Oryza sativa Japonica Group: one gene and its partner. The protein of the gene in region 1 interacts with the protein of each later gene in a pairwise test. Links are inferred from orthologs where the notes say so. Each region holds a gene or a part of one and is shown on either strand. Other genes may lie near its edges.

The links.
Region 2: the proteins of homeobox protein knotted-1-like 3 (region 1) and transcription repressor OFP1 interact in a two-hybrid assay, tested with the Arabidopsis thaliana proteins (2 studies listed by BioGRID, with this or other methods). The link is inferred for Oryza sativa Japonica Group from reciprocal best matches to the Arabidopsis thaliana genes KNAT7 and OFP1.

What each region holds. Positions count from the first base shown.
Region 1 is NC_089037.1:1,347,873-1,355,306, reverse strand, and holds homeobox protein knotted-1-like 3, read right to left. Parts: upstream 7,426-7,434; 5' UTR 7,232-7,425; coding exon 6,872-7,231; intron 6,673-6,871; coding exon 6,552-6,672; intron 3,887-6,551; coding exon 3,693-3,886; intron 3,157-3,692; coding exon 3,025-3,156; intron 2,776-3,024; coding exon 2,638-2,775; 3' UTR 2,533-2,637; coding exon of another isoform or gene 2,529-2,532; 3' UTR 2,199-2,528; downstream 1-2,198. Other genes in the region: uncharacterized protein, read left to right, coding at 299-394, 503-627, 722-740, 828-1,148. UniProt on the Arabidopsis thaliana protein: May be involved in secondary cell wall biosynthesis.
Region 2 is NC_089039.1:15,146,799-15,154,628, forward strand, and holds transcription repressor OFP1, read right to left. Parts: upstream 3,940-7,830; 5' UTR 3,677-3,939; coding exon 2,894-3,676; 3' UTR 2,784-2,893; downstream 1-2,783.

The sequences.
Region 1 (7,434 bases):
GTGCTCAAAAAGCATGCTTTTCATGGTATTTCTGATAGTCTGAAATACAGTTCAGTATGACAATATTTTTTCTGTTCTTCTTTTTTCAATGAAAGAGCACCAGGGTCAATGATTCTGGGGTAAGGATAATTTGGCTGTATTTTGTTGTTATCTTGTTTGATCAATCGTATATATCTCAGATTAGAACGGGAACATGTAATGCTTGTCTTGAATGGAGTAATCTCCAATACTGTCACTATTCCTTTAATTATGCTATTTTTGTGCTTACCTTAGAACTAACTAGTACTTTATTTTTCAGGTGTTTCTGTGCTTTGGTAATTCAGTTGCTTCAACCCGCTTCTTGCTCCAAGATGAATTCAACATACAGACAACTAAATGCGATAACTGCATCATTGTACTGTCACTGTCCTCTTGTTGTTTGTTTTACTAACTTTTAGGTATAATTCCTATGTTCCCTTTCTATGAGACTATAACACTGCAGAAGATCACTCTTTTCCTGTAGGGCTTCATGTTCTGCCTCCAACAAATTGCTTGTATCTTCTCTATAGTTGCCGCTATTGTTGGTAGTGAAGAGCTTTCAGAGGCTTCCCAAATCCTTTCCTGCTTGTCTGATATGGTCTACTGCTCGTAAGCTCTCATAACTCTGTTATTTTCTCTTCTCCATAGTTAAGTCCCCCAATGTTGATAATCTTGTGACCTGTGCACCATTTTTTTTTTGCAGGGTTTGCGCCTGTATGCAGGTAAACATACATAATATCTTTGGTGATTATTTACTCACTCTTCTTAACCTTTGCGTATCCATCTTATCCACTGAAATGCATGTGCAGACCCAACACAAAATTGAAATGGACAAGAGAGATGGGAAGTTCGGCCCACAGCCCATGGCAGTGCCTCCAATGCAGCAAATGTCGCGCATCGATCAGCCTATTCCACCTCCTGTTGGGTACACACCACAACAGCCAGCATACGGTCAGCCTTATGGTGGCTATCCTCCTGCTCCGCCTGCTCAAGGTTATCCACCAGCTGCTTACCCTCCGGCAGGTTACCCCCAGGGTGGTGCATACCCTCCCCCTGGCTCTTATCCCCCACCTGGTTCCTACCCGCCTCAGGGCTCCTACCCTCCTCCACAAGGTTACTACGGCAAGTAAAGGAAATGCAGAAATTGGAGATATGTCTTTGTGACGAAATCGGTATATTGTGAACAATGTAAACATTAGGGTGGTTGTAGTGTTATTATAGGTGATGTCGATATATTAATCGATCTGTGACTGGTCTGGGTGGTAAACTGCAAACATAATTTGGATTCCTCCGGGTGTGGTATACTGTGAACCCGTTTCGTAGAAATTATCAGCTCCCCGTGTTGATCATTCTTGAATACGTTCTTCTCTGAATAAAGGATCGCCATGAAATGTCAACTTAGATTTGGAACTTTTTATCAGAATTTGGTGATAACATTGCCTGTGTAGATTGTTGCTTGTCTACAACGAACAATCAACAACTGGAGCTTGTATGTGACCCGTGTTATGTCTGAATCTCTGAATATTACGTCTGAGAGCAACACAGATTGACGCATCAGATACTTTTTTTTTTTCACCAGAACTTTGAATTTACGATCAGTATATGTTTGGTTGCTTTATAGATTTTGGACATGAGTAGCTGGATAGCAACCTCTATATGGATTATGGGTGCTGTTTTTCGCTGCCAATCTTCAGGGAACCAACGTGCAGCGTCTTCCGAGACAGTGAGGTCTCAACGGAGTTGTCCGTTCTGGTTGAGACGTAGCTAGCCGTGCACTAGCTCCAGCCTTAATTGATTGGAATATTTGACAATCAGCACAGCGATTATCTGGAAGATGTTAAGCCACATACTAATGAGGAAGACGATGCAAAACTATCACTAACCACACACTAAAAAACAGAAACGTGAATATATATATGGTTGGTCTTGTGTCCCTGCTGGCTTGCTGGAAGGGCTCTCGCATATACGCCGGAAATTTTCGGGATTATCATGAGAGGCTAGTGCCAGCCTTAATTTGTCTTGTGGTGTTGGTTAGGCCTAATTGTCCAATTAATCACCAATAGTCCAACTCCAGTTTGGCATACCTGCTACTACTTGATACAAGGCCCACAAATATAGATAGAGATTCCGTTCCATCCATAAACGCAGTTGAATTAATGCTGGATTGCAATGGCGTGCGCTTTTTGATTATTTGACTAGCAGAAGGTTATAGAATGGTCAATGTATATGCACAGCAAATGAATTAGTCTTGGGGTTATGTATGCATGCAGGTACACCCACGACAACAAAATTAAAAACTATACCAACAAGAAGAATTTGCTTGAGCATATCTGCTCAAAAATTACAACGCATATGCCAGTGGTCAGACTAGTATGTATGTCATGAATTTGTCACCTCTGACTAATTAATAACTAGATATACAATTTAAGATGATCTTATTACTTATGAGTCACCATGTCTTCTTTTGATTTGATTAGCGAGTACGTCAGGTATACATTTTTTTCTGCCCTTTACCTGTATTACATATAGAAAAAAGAAGTTTGTGTTATAATTCAGTTGTTAATTACTGAAACATCAACATTGTATTACTGTGGATAAAATACTTGGATAACGGTTTGTTTACCTTTTACGCTTTGATTTAAGGGTTGATGTCTGTGAGTTGTTGTGCCAGTTACGCTTTCTCTGATTGATGAACCAGTTGTTGATTTGCTTGAGCTGCAGGCCAGTCTCTTCAACAAGCTTTGCCTTATCATCCTCCTGTACCAAGAAAATATATATGCCACTCAACCAACTGTATTATATCCATGCAATTCTTCGTGCATATCTGATTAGCTAATTAATAAATATTATTGCTTCTTGCTATATTATATATAAATATTAATTGTAAAGTTAGCACATCAAGATATATTGATCAACAAGTTGGAGAACAGCTAAGAAGGGCTATCTCGACTAGTAGCTAGTTAGTTGCACTCTTGCAAGCATGCTTGATAGGTACAATGTACTCACCGTGGGGTATGGCCACTTGGAGTGTTGCTGCCACCATTGCTTGAGTATGGTGGTGGTGTCCCCAGGCAACTTTCCTGCCCTCCTCTTCCTCAATATTTCTTCTCTCACATCCTCAATCCTTGACTTGAAGCCCTGTAACGAATTTAATAATTTAATCAGAGATAAGATTGCAAAAGTACGTATCACCCTCTAGTTAATTACATAATCCAATATAATTAATTTAGGAACTGATTGAAGAACTAGCAATAGCATGCATGCATCCAGAAGTAGCTAGTCTTAGTCAGTTATTGTCAGTCACATATATAGCTGAGGCGCCGCATCAAACATGACACCAATTAATATGATATGCAATGATCTAGGCTCAGTCTTCAGTCAAAGTATTCTATGACACAGTACAAGGAACTTAAGAAGGAGATTTTCATGCTAGTAACTAGCTCATTTAAGCTGATCATGCACTGTTTTTGCCCTAAAAAGCAGCTAGCTAGCAGCAGTAGTACTATTTTAGCTAGCTCGGCATGATCCTTGCATGAACAGTCTCTTATCAATGTTTAAGCATGTTAAATGAACACGCTTAAACATTGATAAGATATATGCATGCATGAGTTGAAGAGACGAATGTAGGTGCATGCAAGACGTAAGAAGAAATTAATAACAATGCATGCATGTACCTGCTTGAGCTCAATCTTGAGCTCTTGCCTGACCCGCTCCATGAGGGATCGCTCGGAGTCGGTGGGCATGAGCGGGCCGAAGCCCATGAGGTCGTGCCCGTCCGAGCCCATATCCATCGGGCCCTCCAGCATCGGCGCCGTCTCATCCTCGTCCTCCGACATGGTCGCCCCTGTCCCTTCCTCCAAAGTTGCACCTGATGATCAATTGCATATGCATCCAGGTAAGTGTAAATCAACTACTGTAGTTAATTAATTGATGATCACATCTCTTGTAACTGTCCTATTTCTTTAATTTATTTGATTAGTTATTCCTATATCTAATAACATGAAAAATTAAAGATTAGCTTGAAGCAAGTATAATAACATGAAAAAGAAGAGCTAGTAGCTAGCAAAGTTTGTCGGTTATATTCAATCTAGATTGTGCTACACAGTGAGTTAGAGCTAATTAGCTAGGGCATGCATGCAGTACGGAGGCATGCATGAGGGCTTTGTCGACGTCGGCGATCGATCGAGCTGCATGAACTGGAACGTGTGAGATCGAGCAGAGATAGACAGTTGTACGAGCTATGCGCATGGCCACTTGAAACAGCTTGAAAGCTACCCAATCGAAAAGATGTCTCTGATTTGGAGTTTTGCATATGCAGCTCTCGCCAGCTGCATTGCCTGCATGAAACAGCTCGCAGGAACTACTAGCTAGCTACCAGTGTACTTTGAACTGCCTAGCTAGATAAGTTAGCATATTATAGCTCCAATTCGATCTTCGTCTTTATTTCTTCTTCTTCTTCTTCTTCTTCTTCTTCTTATTATTATTATTATTATTATTATTATTATTATTATTATTATTATTATTATTATTATTATTATTATTATTATTATTATTATTATTATTATTATTATTATTATTATTATTATTATTATTATTATTATTATTATTATTATTATTATTATTATTATTATTATTATAGTTTTTTTAAAGTAGCATGGCTTTGATGTTATGCTCTAAAGCAACCAAAACCAACTGAAGCGCGCGCGCGCACACACACCAAAATAAAAAATAAAAATAAAAATTCAACCTATAAAGAACCTTAGAATCCAGGTCAAAAGAGTGGACTAGTAATTTAACAACTTCCCAGTGTCCTAATTTACAGGTGAAATGTAATTTTTCTCTACCTACAATTGAAGTTTACGTATGTATGCGCATGCTAAGTTTTCAACATCTATTTCGCCAATCATCATGGGTGTTTTTCTTCAGTTACATTACATCAACCCTGATGCTTTTTGAATATGCAATGACTACTATAGTTGAATCCCAATCGATGCATCATGATTATGACGATGCCCCTCATGATAAGAGGACGATCGCCAAGAGCTCGATCGGCCGGTCATATCATGTCATGTGACACACCTTCCACTTTCCATGGTCGTGTGTGATATATATTATTCGACAGAAGCGAAGCACCTGAATCATTTAATTAGCTAGTCGATTAGACGAGAGGCATGGACTTTCAACTCCGAGCCAGGATTAGCATGGAACCTAGATGACTTTCATGTAACCTAGATTCTGTTTGAGGGAGCTTTTGATAGTCGTAGCTTCTTTTATATAACCTTTTTTTTCAAACAGTTTAAATTTTCATCTAGATTCTAAGAAATTATAGTTATTGAATTTAAAAAATGAACTAGAAGTTTAAAGTTAGAAAACCTATTTTTTTCCATATTCTCACCAATTGAGTGATTGACTACTAACTAGCTATGCTTCCTAAAATCTCAAAGCTCTCCAAATAAGGCTTAGGTAGCTGTTACACTACCTACTAGCTTTTCAATATCCTCTCAGCGATTTCTCGCTAGCTAGCAACCAACCAACCAATCGGCCATGACCGAATGGCAGCGCTTGATCTGCGCCGGAGATGGCTAAATGCATTTTATAAGTTCATGGATTGTTTTCTTAGATAACAGATTAATATCCAGCCTCTACACTAATAAGGATGTATATATCCAACCCATGGTTCTCTTAGCAAAGGATAGTTTCATTAGATTTATGCCAAATAGTTGGTTCAAATTTTGTTGTTGGAATTTTTTTTATTTCAACTGATCATAAACCTCCAATTGAGACTTTGTGAGAAAAGAAGAAAAATAGCTAGCTAGTCACCTCATATCAGTATATATATGAACTGATTAAGTTAATTTTACCAAGGGTATCACGTCTAACTACGTACACATATATATATATATAGGCCTTAGAAACCTTGACTATGCTATTCTCTGTTAATAACACAAAATGATTATAAAAAAAAATTGGTGCCCTTGTTTTTGAACTGGAAGGATTTTATGCTAAAAAGGAATATCTGAAATTGTTTTCGTGACATCTACCGTTGGGCTTCTGGGCTTTCCCTAGTATACGGGCTGCCATCTATGTGGGCCTTGGTAATTCCGTGTTATTTATCATTCCATTGATTCGAGTATAAACATCAGCAATAAAGTCGCTGTTAGGTACGTGTGTTAGAGTTTTCATATTTAACTAATCTCCTCTGAATACACCTGTAGAAACCGGAACCTTAGAAGTCAAGGCATGCAAATCTGTTGAGAGGGAATCAAGAGACCATATATATGTTTGAACAAGACGCTGCAACTAATATATCACTGCAAGAGCTAGCGGCAACGAACTAAAAAAAAACAATTTCACCATCTAATCTAACTAACGAGAAGAGCAAAAAGGTGAACAAAAATCATAAAGACGACACCATGGAAATCGAAAAAAAAATACAGAAAAGAAGGCGGCGAGAAGGAGAGGGAAAGTAATGAAATATGTAATATATAGTGGAAAATATGTAATGCATGTATGATACTGTAGTAGTTAATTACCGGTTAGGTCCTGCAAGGATTGCTCGATCTCGCGGCACGCCATGACGGCCTCCACGGCGTGCACCCGGACGTGCTGCTGCAGCTGCTCCCTGAACGAGCACAGCAGCATCATGTACTGCGCCTGCATCGATCATTTCAGTATGCATATATACAGTTAGCTTGGCTGGATAGCTTCTAGTTAATCATGTAGCTAGTGCGTACGGTATGATACTTGCATGTAATGTATGCATGCATGCACAAATGCAAAGATTAAATTCAACCTAGTGAAATTAATCAAGCATGGCGCATCGAACTCAGGAAGAAATTAAATAGATGCGTACGAGGAAGGAGTCGAGCTCCTGCTTGTCGTGGGGGGAGAGGAAGGGGCGGTGGTGCGCGGCGTAGGAGTGGAGGAGGCCGCTGGACTGCGCGAGCTGCGCGTCGATCAGCGGGAGGTGGTCGATGGGCGTCGCCACGCGCAGGCAGCCCACGTGCGCCGCCACCAGCTGCTCGCACAGCGGGTGCACCGCGATCTCCCCCTTGAGCAGCTGCCGCTCCTCCGCCTCCGCCGCCGCCGCCGCCGCCGCAGCCGCCGCAGCAGCCGCCGCCGTCGCCGACGACGACGAGCACTCCCCGCCTCCTCCGCCGCCGGTGAACGACCCCACGCCCATCTCCATGCCTCCGTGATCACCGCCTTGCATACACAACACGATACGCGTATACACCGATCGATCGAACTCGCCGCGCGCGCGCGCACCAAGAGCGAGCGAGCTTGTTGGGCTCGATCGGTTGGTGCGCGTGCTCGCTCGCGCGGGTGACCGTGGCCGTTGGGTACACGTATGTATAGCTGTAGCTAGAGCTCTCGCTAGCTAGCTCTAATGGCCAGCGAGAAGGCGCGCGGAGA
Region 2 (7,830 bases), on another chromosome or scaffold:
ACTAATTAGATAGATGGACTTGCATTCTATAATTACACTATATAAATGAATCGAACAAGACAAAAAAAAAACAATCATGGTACATAATCCAAATTATATATATCCCATCCACATTTTTCATTCACCGATCTATTCAAGTTCTATTCAGCATGCTACATGCAACTATAATTCATATACGTTAAACACATCTAGTTTGAAATGTCCCCATATATCCAAGCGACCTTATGATTCAATCTTGTCTTCGGCTGTGGTTTTGGGATAAGTTCACTGACCTTAGCAGAAAAGGGAAAACACAGATGTTGAACTTCAGGGAGCTTTGTTGCTGTCGATGTTGGGGGGAAGCGCTGCAGGGTGGCGGCTGGTGAGGGAGCAGCGAGAGCGACTCCGGCGAGGAGATGCCGTCCGCGGCGAGGCTGTGGACTACGGAGGCCGGATCCAGCGGGACCAGATCTGCCGCTGGCCTAGAGTTGGGGCGCACGGCGAGATTCGGGCCGGAGATCCTCCCGCGGTGCCTCGTCCTTGTCGTTGGCGGTGACATTCCTGGCGAGGGGCGGTGGTCGGTGGCGCTGGGAGAAGGGGAGGAGGAACTGGCGTGGATTTTTCACCTTTTATCCAATTAGAAAACTAATTATTCCACGAATAGATACCTAAAAACTTATTCGAAGAAATTGATCATTTTGATGACGCTAATATTAACAGCGTCATGGTCCAACGTGACAACGCTAATGACGTTGCCACGGTTCCCCTTGCCCTCACTAAATGCTAAGTCACTTATTTGAAGGAGGACGACGCCAATGTTGTTAATGCGCCGTGAAAAGGGTTCATTCCTAAAATAAGTTTTTAAGGGGTTTATTTGTAGAATAAGTTTTTTAAAGCATCAAAAGTGAAAAATCTAGAGACTAGGTAGAGGCGTTGGGCGACACGTAGCTGGGTTCGGCAGTGGGACTCTTGCGAGACCAACGTCGCAGTTAAAGGAGGCTAAAATGGAAAATATAGGTGTTTGAATCTCCTGAAGATGAAGATAAAGATTAAGTGTTTTACGCAAAACGAGGTGATAATAACGTGTGATTAATTGAGTTTGAATTATTACAAACTTGAAAAATGGATTAATCTTATATTTTAGAATAACTTTCATATAGAAAGTTTTCGCACGAAATATATCGTTTAGCAGTTTGAAAAGCATGCCACGAGCATCCAAAAGTTTATCTAACTTTGTTGGAGAAAAGAACAGGCACAAATTTACCATTACAGGATCGAAAACGGAACGGATATTTCTTGACCACCCACCTGATCCAACTCTAAGGAAAATAATATAGAAGAGAAAGTAGGATATTCGTTATTATCCGAGTTTTAATCCGAATCCGTTAAGAAATATGGGTTAAAATACAATAAGAGTTTTATAGCCGGTATGTCCCATATTATGAAACATACTTAAAAATATATTATAAATTCACCAACAACCATAATAAAAGATTGATTAACTTGATAATATCGTATATTTTTTCCTTGATGAATCTCTTTTAACACTTTAATTGTTTGTCTATATTTAATATCTATCAATTGAAAATACAAATGGATATTCGTTCATGAATCCATTTTGAAGAAAATAATATAGAATATGTTACAGGATAAGTGATTTGTTATCTGACAATATCCATATCCAACTTAATATTTCGAGAGAATCCCTTATATGCCACTGAAAATTGGTCTGATCCTTTTATATGCCATTGAAAATTGGCTCTTCCCTTATATGCCATTAATCCAAATTTGCACACCCTCTCATGTCACTCCCGTCAGTTGACTGTGTATTGACCGTTAATTCTTAAGGAAAAAAGGCATATTTACCCTTTTGATTATAGGGCATGCCTAACAACTCAGAGAGGGCAAATATGTCTTTTTTACTTGAAAGCTAACGTTCAACACACGGTCAACTGACGGTAGTAGCATGAGAGGATGCGCAAATTTAGACCAATGGCATATAAGGGAAGAGCCAATTTTTAGTGACATATAAGGGATCAGACCAATTTTCAATGGCATATAAGGGATTATCTCTAATATTTCACCCCTCCTTACATAAAGCCAATGGCAAAGAACGTGTCCAGTACCGTGTTGGTTGATAAACCCATACCAAGCCGGTACCAATTGTACTTGGTTGTCCAATCAATCTAGTGTCAAAGACATACAGACTCATCTTTTTTACTTATGTTTATGTTTATGCTTATCAGCCAAAATTTAAATTTTTAACCTTAAACTTGAAGTTGATTTTAAGGTTTTTTTCATCGAAGTTTATTTTTCAGCCTTTTCTTTTAGATCGCTAAGAACACGTATATAAAAGTTTTATTTAAAAATTATTTTTTGTTTGTAAATATGCTGTTGCGCTTATATGCTTAAAATAAGTCAAACGATGGCTTCCATAGATATTTTGAAAACATGTATACTCATATATATACACGCATACACGCAGACTCATTTTTATAAACACACCCTATTTTAAGATTAACAAAGTCACCACAAACGTCTTACCTTACTAACGGATCCGTCCCGCATAGCTACGTAGCTACGTTGTTCTCACGAGTCACTGTTCACAAACAAATAATCATCAGCGACATGTATTCTTTGTGAATTTCCCAAGCTTATGATTATGCAGCTATTTGAAGAATTTGTTTGGAAAAAAAATTCGGTCGTTTAATTTGGCATGGCTAACTGTCAAAACTAAGCGTGAAGTCTAGAGTTTCCCTGCATAGCCCTTGAATACCTCGATTTAATTACAGGACAAAACATTGTACATATGCCAGCTTGATTCATTAACACCAAAAATTAACGGCACAATATATCCATTTACAGCTCAATCGATTCGATCAATCCAACTATACAAAAACAGAATCAATATAGCTCACAACCCAACGCAACAATCAGCATCAGCGACGATCTCAACCCAGACGCCCCTGAACGCCTCCATGATCACGCCGTGGTGCTCCCGCGCGTTGAGCGACAGGTAGCACTCGAGCAGCTCCAGCAAATCCTCCGGCGACCGCATCCCGTTCCCGACCACCATCTCCACCATGCTCTCCCGGAAGTCCCTCGCCGGCTCCGCCGACGCCTTCACCACCGCGAACCCACCGCCGCCGCTCCTCCGGCGACCACTACCAGCCCTACACTCGCAGCCGCCGAGAACGTGCAGCCTCCTGCTCCTCATCCTCGGCGAGCTCGGGCACGTGCCGCTCCCGCTCGCCGTCCTCCTCGGCTCGGCCGACGCCGCCGCCGCCGACGGTGGCCTCGTGCGTATAGGACGTAGCTGCAAGTCTTGAAACTCGCCGTCGTGGTGGTCTCCGGGAATGGCTGTGGCGGGGATTCTTTGGTGGAGAGGGGAGTGGGAGATGAGCTGAGATTCCTTCTCCATCAGTGGCATCTGCTTGGCTCGTTCCAGGTAGGGGTAGTAGGATCGTCGCGGCGGTGACAACGGGAGAGGCTTGGGAGTGGTGGTTCCATGTCCATGGAGGTAGTAGTGGTGGATGCTGCTTGACGACGACGACGATCTCCTGGAGCTTCTTGCTGCATGATCTGCTGCGGTGATCATCCGGCTTGATGTTGGCCTGGGCCTCTTCATGTCCCTCAGCTTGTAGAACCATGAGTTTGGCATGAGATGGGACAGCCTGAACCTCTCATGGCTGCTCATCTCTCAGTCTCTCACTCACACACTCTTTCTAAGCCTTGTGGTGTGCAGCTAGCTAGCTACCATGGAGCATTGCAATGGAGGAGTGCCTCTCTTTGTAAGGTGTTGGCAATGGCAAATTGGCAAGTGGGTGAGTATAGCAGAAGAATTTCTGAGCTGATGAACAATGATGAAATGGTGAGTTGCTCTGAAACACTCTGCAGATTGTGACACCAAGAAAGGACCCAATTAAGCCTGTACCGGCCTCAGCATCATCATCATAGCAATTGTACTAATGTAGTTGCGGTTGCAATGATCAGGGCAAATTTCTTTAGCATTTAAGAAATACAAATGGTACACACATGGAAAACAGCACAAAGGTTTTTTACTTGTCAAAGTTGCCCAGATAAATCAAGTTAATTTGGGCCAAATTGTATATGCATTGCCTTGATTGTTGTATGTACAAAGGGAAAGAAAGCGATATGATTGTTTAGACTTTAGAAACTTATGCATTGGTTGTGTTCTGGGCTCGCGAACTTGTACGGTGCTAAAGAATAGTGCCAGGTTTGCACTTTCGTTATGTTAAACCTATCTCTACTACTCTGTCCTACTCATTACCCTGCCTTTTTTAGAGCACCCTTATGATCTCATGGGTCTTTTCCTTTTAAAACCTAGCTACAACTTTACAGCAAAGTTGGGGAATATTCCGCTCCTTTCGAACTACCACGCATAGTGAAATTTCCCTTTATTGATAGGGAACATTGCTGATATCACTCCATGAAACTATGGGAATTAATATCATTAACTAATGTCATAGGCAGAGTGTGCATATTGTTCTCCCGCGAAAGAAAAAAAATGCGCTTGGTATACCTATATCCAACACCTGGATATTTTTAACTTTTTAGTATCTTTACTATTATAAAAGTTGAGTCGTCGTACTTCCATCTCTTCTCACTGCTCATGCAACCTGTTTGTATGCTGCTTCCCACATATATAGTGTGCGCAATAATTGCATGATCCAGTGCTTTATTCTCAATTCACCCTCCAGTCCATTCCTAATCGACTCAATTATATGGGTCTAGTCCGTTACAATGTATGGATATGTTAATAATATTTTAGAAAATGAACATAAATTTGATTTATGTCCGTAAATTTTTGCCTTTAATTAATTTTAGTCACTAGCACAGATATAAATGGAGGGGCGATGGTTTGTTAAAGATGTTCTCTCAGCTGTCTGTCTGGATGTCCCATCATCTGCCTCGCGTAACAAACAGTAAGGTGCATCCATCCGGGTATTTCGTTAAGTACAGGAAGGTGCATGAACTGGCTAGTGCAAGCTCTATTGCGCTAGCTCCAGGACTCCAGCAAAGATTATGCTATGCCTACCTGGATAGGGCTAGCTATATCTCCACTCTACTTTGCATCAGACTTTAATAGTGTTGCCTCTTTTGATGTTCAAAACAATAATTGGCAAGACAAGTTCTCAACTCAGGGAGTACTATGATCTGAAAAAAAGAGAAATTGCACCATGAAGCTGTTGTTGTGCAGCTGCATAAAGCTGGCAGTGTTGTCAATTTTGTGATGCCCAACATGCAAGGATTGAATGGGGGAACAAGGAAACGATACAATTTTTATTAGTCTTATAGAAACGGTTCTACATTTATGAATTTAACTATATATTTAGTAGCAACTTCAATATGACACATACAAACATTAGAAAACTAAATTTTACAGTCAGAAACAATCAAAAATGATATCGATTTTTTTTAATGAAAACGGCATCGGTATGGTCAAAAAAATTTCCGTACCATTTTCATCCATACACCTGGTCTAAAAATTAGAGGCAATAGAGCATCTTGAGCCCGTGGGCAGTTACAGGTTGTGAGTCAAAGGTGAGATCCAATATACAAGGGCATGTGTCATATATAAGACACCAATAACTTCTGCCTTGGCCCAAGTAGATAGTCCCACGAGTGACACCAACAAGTCTTTCCTTGTGACACTAGTCTATAAATTGCTTTACACTTTAGCTAGACAAGCTAGCCCATTTGGACATGGATAGCCCGACAACAGCTAACAAATTAGCTATTGGAAGTCTAAAACTCAAGCTATTTGATTCAAGTCTAGACTGACGTCGTCTTGTTTCAACATGTGATAAAGTGAAACACAGTCATGGAAGTAGCTAGGTTTGTATTTCCTTACACGTCGGAGCCCCCAATTCCATATCCAATTTGTATCTTTATTTTTTTTTATCTTTTTTAAGAAAGTTCACCGGGGGGAGAACTGCCTCACCTGTATTTTCATTGCAAGGGAGGTAAAGTTCAGGTTTCATTACAAATCAAGAGATCAAAGGGAGGAAGAGATGATTTCTTTCCAAGCTGAAAAAGCATTCATATCCTCCACGATTAGCCGCTCAGTCCAAAGAGTAGCGTCGTCGATGCACCTCACGATCAACCTGCGTAGATATGTTATTTTTCCACGGAGTACCACATCATGTCGATGGTTCCAAAGGCCCCAAAAGCATAGAAGGAAGAAGACCCAGTAGTGTTTGATCGGAATTTGCAGTGGGAGCAGCAAATCCGCCATGTTCTTGACAGTCAAAATGTTGATCTGAACACTGATCAGTCTACAGAGAGCAATTGTAAAGGGGCACTGGATACATAATGTGTTAAACTGTCTCATCTGCCCCATTGCAAAGGTCACATAGTGGCAATTGTACTATTTTCTTCTTGTTGAGGTTTAGCTTGGTAGGGAGTCTTTCCTTGGCTAGGAGCCATGCGAAGAGCTGCACTTTCGAAGGTGCTTTATTCTCCCAAATGAACTTCCAGTTGTTGCACAGCTGCACAGGTCTATGTCATCGCACACGGCGTAGTAAATTTGTTTGGTCTGCAGCAGACCTGTTGCTCCATTCATGTCCCTGATATCTAATTGTGATGTCAAGATCTGATCTTGGAGTAAAAGCCCTAGTTGGAGCAACTGATCTTCAGCCATCATCGAGAGCCTTGACACAAATTGATTTCTCAACTTCCTAGACATCGCCTGCTACACTGAAAGCATGTTTGTCCACAGAGTGCGAGTAGAGGGGCCATAATTTTCAGCCATGGTGTTCTCCCGGTACCAAAGATCATGCCAAAAAGAAGTGTGCCTAACATCTCCCACCTTAATTGTCGTAAGATTCTGCAGGTCAGGGAGAAATGCTACTAGGGAATCCCAGTGTACTCCGAGCTGACTGTCCCAGAAGAAGGATGCATTTTTGTGTTCATTCCAAATCCAGCGTGCCCAGAAAGATTTCAGTAGAATGGATAAGCGAGTATTTTAGTCCCACCTATCCGTTGAGTTGGGCACTTGATCAATTTCTCTAATATGAAGTACTTTGCTTTGGTTTGGCACTATTTCTATATATTTTGTGCCCTCGAGGGATGTTCTTTGTTATGGTGCATAGCAGGCTGGGTGCTGCTAACCATCAGAATACGTGGAGAAGGCTTCTAGTTCATTTATTGGAGTTACAACTTCTTGAGATCTTTTGATTCCAAAGAAGTTGCAGCTGCTAAAAGTTTCATCAAACAAGCCCCTAATCTCCTTCCACAGTGTAAGGTTCACCCTTAAAAAAATAGTGATGTTGCTATATACACATGTTTATGTAGCACTAATTTTAATGTAGTGCTTTACAATTTAATTTACCAATTAGACAAATGGTATTGATACGATGAAACGATTTTTTAAAAGAAAACTTAATTTCTCATTTATTTTTTTTACTGTCGATATGCATTAATGGTTCACTTGAAGACATGATTGTTGATGAGAGTTGACAGTGACACCATTGACCTAAAACTCTTCATCCGTCTCCTCCATCCTTAAATAAACAAATATATGCAATTTTAATTATACAGTACTAGGGAAGTGTGGTGATGCCAGTAGCCAGACGCACAGGGAGAGACGACAGCCAGGATCAACATCAGAGCAAAAGAGTGTGACAGAGGAGGATGGAAAGTGAGGCCCCGTTCGTTTCTTATGTAGAGGCAGGATGAAATTTTAGATTCTCGTGGCATGCTTTTCAAACTATTAAACGATACATTCCGTGCGAAAACTTTCTATATGAAAGTTGCTCTAAAATATCATATTAATCCATTTTTCAAGTTTGTAATAATTAAAACTCAATTAATCACACGTTATTACCA